2 linked regions of the Drosophila melanogaster genome follow. The protein of the gene in region 1 interacts with the protein of each later gene in a pairwise test. Each region holds a gene or a part of one and is shown in the gene's direction. Other genes may lie near its edges.

Region 1 (4,645 bases):
AGGGGACATTTCTTATAATTTCTGAACGGAAATCCAGAACTTTAGTTTGAGAGACACTTGACCAGGTGCCATCCGAGCGAAAGATGCATTGAATCGGAATGGGAATCGGTCCACTTTGCACTCACACTCACTCCGTGCGGCGCCGAGTGTGTACACGCTATGACCTTGCGGGGTTGCTGCCACCCACCGCCCACTTTGAACCCAAACCAACTCATTCATGACCCAGAGCAATCCAAAACGAAATCCACGCCGTGATATCACGTTGTGCTGAAAACAAAAAATGTATAATTTCTTTGCTTGACGTAAGCGCAAAGATCTGATGTTCGGAAATTACGAAAAACGAAATGTTTTTTTTTCTTCGAAATTCTGCAGCATGCGTATACACAGATTTTTGGGAATTTTGCTGCTTGTGTCGTTGGGCTATTTTAAAGTTTAAATGCTTATCGGAAAAGCTGCTCCATTTCGTTGGCTGTGCGCTTGTTAAATTTAGTTCCCAGACGCAAAAACTGTACGTACACAACAAGATGCCGGAGTTTTTCTTCTACCCTTAGTACTTTGCTCATCACAGTGCGACTTGGCTATAAACGATTGTATTCTAATTTGAATTTTCAAAAGAGCAGGCGATTTCATTTCACAATATTTCTTTAGCTTTGCAAAGCGTAAGCAAGTGTCATGATAACGAAAAGTGGATTTTCCCAGAAATATTTATAAATAATTTTGATAAGTTTACACAGAAAGTAAACTAAGTTTTTAGCGGAAGTGCAATATAAACAACATTTTGATTCTCGAAAAGAGGTTATCTTTAAAATCAAAAACAGAAATCGTTGTGAGTCCACTTATAAGTAAAAACTTTTGGAAACTGGAATATGTTGGGCCATAGAGCGCTTATTAAATGAATTTACAAAAATTTGCAAGGATGCAACTGACGCCTTAAGTTAGGCTTCATTATTTGAAGCCAGCTTGTGAGTCACTGGAATTTCATATTCTCTCGATTTTAATACGTTTTACATGACAAAGACAAAAGATGGGTAAATTTCACAATAGAGGGGGGTGGGGCTCTTTGTTGTGGGGAAGTTAGGGCGAGAGCGAAAGAAAGGCGAAGAAAGTGGGGAGCATGATGGCGAGGGGAGTGTCTGGAAGCTGCCAGAAGAGACAAGAGAGCGGGAGAGTGCGCATCCTCTCGCTCTTTTCACCTTCTGTTCGGTGTTTCTGTTGTTGTTCTTGTTTTTGGTGTGGCTGCAGCTGCGAAGCAACAATAACAACCACAACAGAGACTCGAAAACAGCTGCACACGAAAACGGTGGCTGTCAAACTGTTTTGCAAAATTTAAAATGTAACTGTACTTGGCAAAAACAATACATTTTGCTGTATTTCTGTATGTCGTAAAAGATCTTTCGACCTGGAAGCTGGAGAACACTTTTTCCAGCCACTTGGCCACCACCCCGCCTTTGAACAAACCAACCAATCGATTGGCCAGCTTATTGATTTTTCTATTCGAACATTTTGCATTTGTTGCTCGTTTCGGTCTTTTGCTTAGTGTGTTTGGTTCGAAAAAAGTATTGGCAATCATGTGGGCATCGACATACACACTTTTTTTTTATCACACCCACGCGAAAAACACGCGGCGCCAGCCAGACTAAAAGGATACAGGCAGCATATCCTGCACACACACACACACACGCGCGCACAAAAAAGCTCGCCAGGATCGAGTGGTGCAGTTGACCAGCAAACCGCAGCTGCTGACAGCCAATTTTGAGTAGCGGAAACAGTTGGAGCTGCTGCCCCGAAATGGGTACTCACTTGATCAGCAGCACTTTTTCGAATCAATATACCCGTCTATTCAATTTTTTTTTAAGCGGGACGAAGTCGCGCGCAACCACCGGCTTGCTGGGTTTGTTAGAGATGTGCCGATAACTCGCCACTGCGATAGCTCGAGTTGCTACTTTTTGTTGTACGCCACGCGCTTGGGATTTTAGCGAAATATGCGTGCCACAACTTAGCTTGTGCCGCAACCCCACACAGTGCTGCCACCTGTGGGCGAAAAAGTTACGTCTACATGGTGTTCTGGTCACACTGCCCCCGCCGTGACAAACAAAATAGAAAAAAAAATAAAACAAAAGATAAAATTTTAGCCTCCCCCCTTTGAGAAATAAAGGGTCATTTGAGGCAGTTTAAATCGAAAAGAATCCATAGGCACGGAGAGCCCAGCACACATAGAATGTTCCACTTCAGCGGCTTCAACATGATGTTCCCGGAGGGACGCAATTTTCATGCCAACTACAAGTGCTTCTCCGTATCCATGTTGCCAGGAAACGAGCGAACCGACGTGGAAAAGGGCGGAAAGAGTGAGTTACGAGTGTAGGCTGGACAGAAATTATGTGAACAACACATTCCATCCACAGTTATTATGCCTCCCTCGGCGCTGGACACGCTCACCCGCCTGAATGTCGAGTATCCAATGCTGTTCAAGCTGACCAACGTCAAGAAATCGCGATCCTCGCATGCCGGCGTACTCGAGTTTGTGGCCGACGAGGGCAAATGCTATCTACCCCACTGGATGATGGAAAACCTGCTGTTGGGTGAGGGCGACATACTCAACATCGAGAGTGTCTCGCTGCCGGTGGCCACCTTCTCAAAGTTTCAACCGCACAGCACCGACTTCCTGGACATCACCAATCCCAAGGCGGTGCTGGAGAATGCATTGCGCAACTTTGCCTGCCTCACCAGGGGCGATGTCATAGCCATTAAGTACAACAAGAAGGTCTACGAACTGTGTGTCCTGGAGACAAAGCCCGGCAATGCAGTCAGCATCATTGAGTGCGACATGAATGTGGAATTTGAGGCGCCAGTCGGCTACAAGGATCACTCCGAAACGCAGGCATCGGGCTCTGGGCAGCAGGGTGCTGCTGGAACTGTTGGCGGCGAAATCGCTGGAGCCACCAACGCCATACTCGAAGAGGTCGTGGAGACCTTCAAGGGTTCCGGCGTACGTCTCGATGGTAAGAAGAAGAAGGAAAGCCAGTTGGAAACGCCGGTCGTTAAGAAGGTGCTAGCCCGCGGCGTTCCAGACTATGATTTCCAGTTTGGACTCATCCGTTTCGATCGCAACATTCGGCCTATCAGTGATAGAAGCCAAGAAGATGATGCCGTAGCTGGCAATGCGGACGCTTCCGATGCGGAGAGCTTCCACGGCACCGGTTTCTCGATGAAGAAAACGCGCAAATAGCTCTGTATCTCTAGTTCTAGTTATATATTGTGTGACACATAGAAATTAAAGGAAAAACCTCACAGGGGCAGCGTCAACTTGATGGCCTCCTCCTTGGGCGGAGCCGGTGGCGATATGGTGGTCATGGGCGGCAATCGGCGTATCTTGCGTCCGTGTTTGCCTTCCTTGCGCTTCCACAGACCGGAACGTGGTCGATTGCCCATCTCCCGCATCCGCTGGGCACTGCCCACATGCTCCTTGTTGTGTTCCGGGTTGGACAGGCGACCAACCGTCGCCATGCAGGTGCGCTGGAAGGCGAACTCCCGCTTCGAGGGCAGCTGCACCACCACCTTTTCGTCGAACTTGCGCAGAATGGTGCCGAAGGTGCCGGCGGCATGGATCAGGTGGCACATCTGGCCGGGGTTCTTCTCCAGACAGTGAATGCGTGTGCCCACGGGCAAGGCGCCCAATGGATAGGCATCGCCTTCGTTGGGACGCACTATGGGATCATACAAAAAAAAAAAATTATATTGGCATAACTGGTTGTTTCAGAGCCAGTAAAATTTCTAGATTCCATGCTCAGTTTAAGACTATACTCAGAGGATTACTTAGAAAACGTTTAATACTCCCGATGAGTAACAGTAAGTAAATTTACCCGGAATCCTAGGAATAAAGCGCGAGGTCTTGAGGATATCGCCAGCCTTCATGTTCTCGGTGGCCAGGATGTACTTCAGCTCATCGCCGACGGCAACCAGGGCCACTTTGGCGGTGCGACAGCCATCGCGTAGCACCTCGAGTACCAGTTCCTCCTGGGCGCCCTCCGTGGGACCATCCCGCACCCATTTAACCCAGCGATACTGCTGTTTGATGCCTCCGCCAATGCCCTTGGCCACCAAGCGACCGGAGACGGGATCCCGACCAGCCAAATGGGTGATCTTCAGCGGCTCAACGGTGTACTTCTCCGGAAAGTGCACGGTTCGTCGGAATTGCTGTCCGGCACCAGGTTTTGGTTTCTCCACCACTTTGGTTTTGCCGCGCAATTGCTGCAGAAACGCCGGCGCCGTGCGAAACGGCGTTTGTATAGTCAGCGTTGTGCTCAGCAAACGTGTTACACTTTGCATTTTCGATAGTTTTATTTGAAAAATTAAATAGAACGAAAATATATGCAAACTGTTACAAAATCGAAATGCGGCTGAAAACAGCTGTTACGCGGCGTTGCCAGACCACGAACGGGCCATGCCTGATTTCGGGCGCTAGCGTTGCCAGCATTTTGCTCGAACTGATCTCTTCTTCTTCTCCTTCACCGCGCTGAAGCAATAAGAATCGGGAAAACCGCATTAAAATCGCTGAAAAAGTGCACAAATCGGCTTTAAATTATTGCCCAATTACTAGTGTTACGTGCATATCGAGAGATTTCATAAATTGCAACAGCCAACGATT
Region 2 (4,163 bases), on another chromosome or scaffold:
AAGCGACGCCTGCCAGCCGTAAAGCGATTTTTATCGCCCAGCTTAGCAGGAAACTTATGCACAGTGTACACAGGGAATAAAGAAGTTGGCCCAAATGGTTGTTTAATATCATTACTTTTATGTATGCAGGTTAAACAGTGAGACAGTTAACAGAAAAGTATATTAGAAGGCTGCAAGATAACATTTATACGGTTGCATACTTTTAAGCACCTCTATGGGAAATTAAGAGGTTAATGTCACATTACAAACTTCTATAATATATGTTTCTTAAGCTCAACTTCAATCCATTATTTGATACCTTCACAAATATAAAAAAACTAAAATTTATTAGCAGCTTATGTTCATCTTTATCTTGCATCTCAAATGACTTGAAAAATTCAATTAAAATGTATCTAGTTTGTATTATGACATGATAAATTCCCCGAAATTGAAAGGTTATCATGTTCTGGGAATTGCATTTATTCCAGCTAAATGTTTATCTTATGAATTTCTGAAAGTGCCCAATGTAGAATATTTCTTGGAAACCTCTTACAAAGTCCAACTATTACATATACTATGTGCTTTTTCTCTGCGTGCTCGGTTGGGTGGGTGGTGGGTGGTTTGCGTCCGCGAAGGGCGAACCTCCATCATTTGCCCCGCCCCAGTTGGTCGACATTCAACGACAAATGTCTTTCATTTACGCGTAATAAAAACGAAATCTCCGTTGAACAATGGCCGCCGGGCGGCTTTTGAAGCTCCGGAAGAAAGTGGGTGTACGTATGTTGGGTGTTGGTATAGAAAGTGTGCCACCATGGCCATAACTTGTTGTTCTTCCCGTGTACTTTGCGGCTGCCTCAAGTGTATTTTACGTTATTTTATATTTAATTTACAGCTCAACCTCCCCAAGGGGACTTTCTCTGTCGATGAGAAAGTGTTTTACACACTCTCTCTCTCTCTCTCTCTGTCTCGCTCTCCATTTTCCCGCTCCAGGAGATGGTAGGCTCTTAATGGCATAAAAGTATAAGCCATACATGTTGATTACACGGCAAAAGAGCTTAAATATGCATGAGCCCGGGCCAAAAGCGCATTGAATTTAAAACGCATAGAACGGGGATCCTTTCGAGTCCTTAGAGGAGTGTCTATGTGGTACGAGTTATCTATTCCCAGAAGTTGTCGAGTGTCTGTAAGTGGCGCCGAGCGTTTGACAGCGTTGTGGAATGGGATGGGATGGGATGCGATGGGAATGAAGTTTGCCGGCTTTTTATGGGCTAAAGTGGATAAGTTAAATACATTTTCACTCAGTATGGATACTCATTTGATGGCGAAATACCACGACCATGGCGGAATGCCACGTCCATGTGCCACGAGTCACGAGCAACTCAAGGACCTTAATGTTAAAACGCGAAGCCCATTCCGCAGATTAATTAGGAAATGAAGTGCATGGCAAACGCAGCACTCGACTCGAGCTCTGTGACATTTTCCAACTCAATCGATGGGAAAATGGGCCATTGTCTGCTTTTAAAGTTTGAACAAAGGCAAACAAATGACATATTTAATTTTAAAGTACAATGGCTTATGAAAGAATCTGGCTCTAACATAAATCTGGCAACTCTTGTTATTTTCCGCACTAATGGACATTTATGTCCTTATTCATTGAGCTAGTGGGCGCCCCTTTAAACCATTAATACTCATTGCCAGCGGGCGTGTCATGGGTACTGGGTAAGACCAGTCCCCCCGAAAGCAGCCAGCTGCAGCTTGCCTCAATCTGCCATCCTCGCATCCTTGCATCCTTGCATCCTTGCATCCTGCGGCCCAACGCCTTTGTGCTCCTGTCAGTCAGCATGTCGTAACTACTTGCTAGCCAAAACGCATATGTGCGAATGTGTACATGTACATATATCCTGTCGCTGTGGCATTCGGAATAAAATGGTGCATTAATTCAACCACAAAGAGATCCGATATTCGTAACGCCAAGCCCATATCCACAAACTGGACATTGTTTCGGGCCACAAGCGGCATTTAGCAGATTTGCATGCACAAACACGCGTTGCATCCACTGGATGTGCGGCATCCTTTGCCTCGCATGGACAAAAGTGCTTACAAACAGTTCTAAATTTATCACTATTTGATTGGGTTGCAGGAAAGTGTGGGTTCTGGAGCAGAAGGTGCTGAAGCCATAAATATTCATGGCCCAGTTGCAGCTGCACTGTGAAAAAAAAATCCGCATCGTTGTTAAACTATTAATGTAAAATCTAAGCTAGCTTGCATTTCAACCATATTCGTTGTAATTCAAAGATAAAGGTGGGCTCTAAAAAAGCATGACTACTTAAATAAACAATATTCACAAGTATTGTCGCCTTATTGATATGACACCCTTTCAATCAACTCTTCATTCACTTTTCTCTCTGTGTGAAATTTGAGCATCCAGTCGGCTCTGCGTAAAGCATTTGGCAAGTCTCCGCCTGGATTTCGTACATATCTACATAAATCAAAGTTTCAAAATTTCTAGTCTCGCTGGAATGCACTGCGATTGATCCGACTGGAGGTTAACTGTGGACTAAATCTTGGCTGCTGCACTGAATCAACAAGCATGGCATCTGGAATTAATTTGAGCCGCGAGTGTCAGCACGTGTTCGAGCAGATCCGGAAGCTGAAGCAACATCGCTACGCGGTCTTCGTCATCCAGGACGAGCGGGAGATTAAGGTGGAGGTGCTTGGAGTAAGGGAGGCGAACTACGACGACTTCCTGGCGGATCTGCAACGTGCCGGATCCAATCAGTGCCGATTCGCTGTCTACGACTATGAGTATCAGCACCAGTGCCAGGGCACCTTGTCCACCTGCCTGAAGGAGAAGCTAATCCTGATGCTCTGGTGTCCCACTCTGGCCAGGATCAAGGACAAGATGCTCTACTCCAGCACGTTTGCGGTGCTCAAGCGAGAGTTTCCCGGCGTCCAGAAGTGCATTCAGGCCACCGAACCGGAGGAGGCGTGCCGCAATGCTGTCGAGGAGCAGCTGCGCTCCTTGGACAGGGAGTAGTCCTGCTGCTCCTGCAACTTCTGCTCCTTTTGCTCCCTTTTGAAATATAGTACGGATAATTTAGTCGGCAGTCGATTTAAATTGCCTTTTGGTGTCGGGTTTTCTTTTTTGTGGCGCCTCCAGTGTCCACTATCGACGCCATGTCCATGTCCACATCCATGTCCACATCCACATCCTCATCCACGGCTCGCTCTCGACTCATTCTCGTTCTCGTGTTTCGTTGCCAGGGGCCCCGATTTAATTTGATTTCGCCCGGCATCTAATGAGCCAATTTGGCATATGGATGCCTCTTGAAGCTTGCCACGGGTATCAGCTATAATTTGTTTTGTCCCCAGCTTCCTTCATCGCTCATTATCCTGAGAACGCGCGACTAAAAATACTTTCGCCCGAGTTGCGCGGCTGGTTGGCGAGGGCAAAGTTTTGGCATTCAGACTTTTTTATCTCATCCATAAATCACGGCCAAGTTGAAAAACGCCCCCATCCCGGCCCCGCGGCTTTCCATATCATTTGGCAAAAGTCTGCGAATTAATCAAATTGACGAGGAGCACGTCACCATTCTCAATTGCTACACTTCAAACAGGACTCTGAATTGAATGTGCTGCTATTCGTGTATTGATTTCGTTATTTCAATTGGAATAGCGAATAACCCATTATGTGAGTTTTCATCTTTCTATCTCCCGCTATCATCATTGTCAGCAGGACATCGTCCTTGCAGTGATGCCCACGAAAATATACATATTCTATTCAGTACTGCTTAGAATTGAGCTTATGCAAATATGAAATTCTAATTTCATGCAACAAGGATGGGATGTGTATTTGTTGTTTGGACAAATAGATCCCCAACTATTCTTATCACTTAATTTAACTTTAACATTCCTTTATGAACTGCCAAGGAATCTATCTGAGCCATTTAACAAGTTTATGGTTCGTAATTATGTAAATTCAACTAGGATATTTGGGATACACAGAGATTTCTTTTTGAGCAAGGACATCCCATTTGAGGCAGAAAAAAGGACGAATGGGCAGCACTTGGCTGGTAATTTTATCGGCGCGCCCAAACTGTCGTTGGTGACGCTACGAATATCCGTCATATGCCTGGGAAACGAAATGAAAAGAAGGAGCTGATACCACTTGGCAGACGAGTGAG

Evidence for each region.
Region 2: the proteins of Ufd1 (region 1) and CG6873 interact in a two-hybrid assay, tested with the Drosophila melanogaster proteins (one large-scale study listed by BioGRID).

The regions. Positions count from the first base shown.
Region 1 is NT_037436.4:11,120,622-11,125,266, reverse strand, and holds Ufd1 (ubiquitin fusion-degradation 1-like), read left to right. Parts: upstream 1-2,050; 5' UTR 2,051-2,218; coding exon 2,219-2,345; intron 2,346-2,402; coding exon 2,403-3,226; 3' UTR 3,227-3,285; downstream 3,286-4,645. Other genes in the region: mRpL2 (mitochondrial ribosomal protein L2), read right to left, coding at 3,286-3,704, 3,861-4,326.
Region 2 is NC_004354.4:18,738,131-18,742,293, reverse strand, and holds CG6873 (uncharacterized protein), read left to right. Parts: upstream 1-2,398; 5' UTR 2,399-2,569; coding exon 2,570-3,016; 3' UTR 3,017-3,078; downstream 3,079-4,163.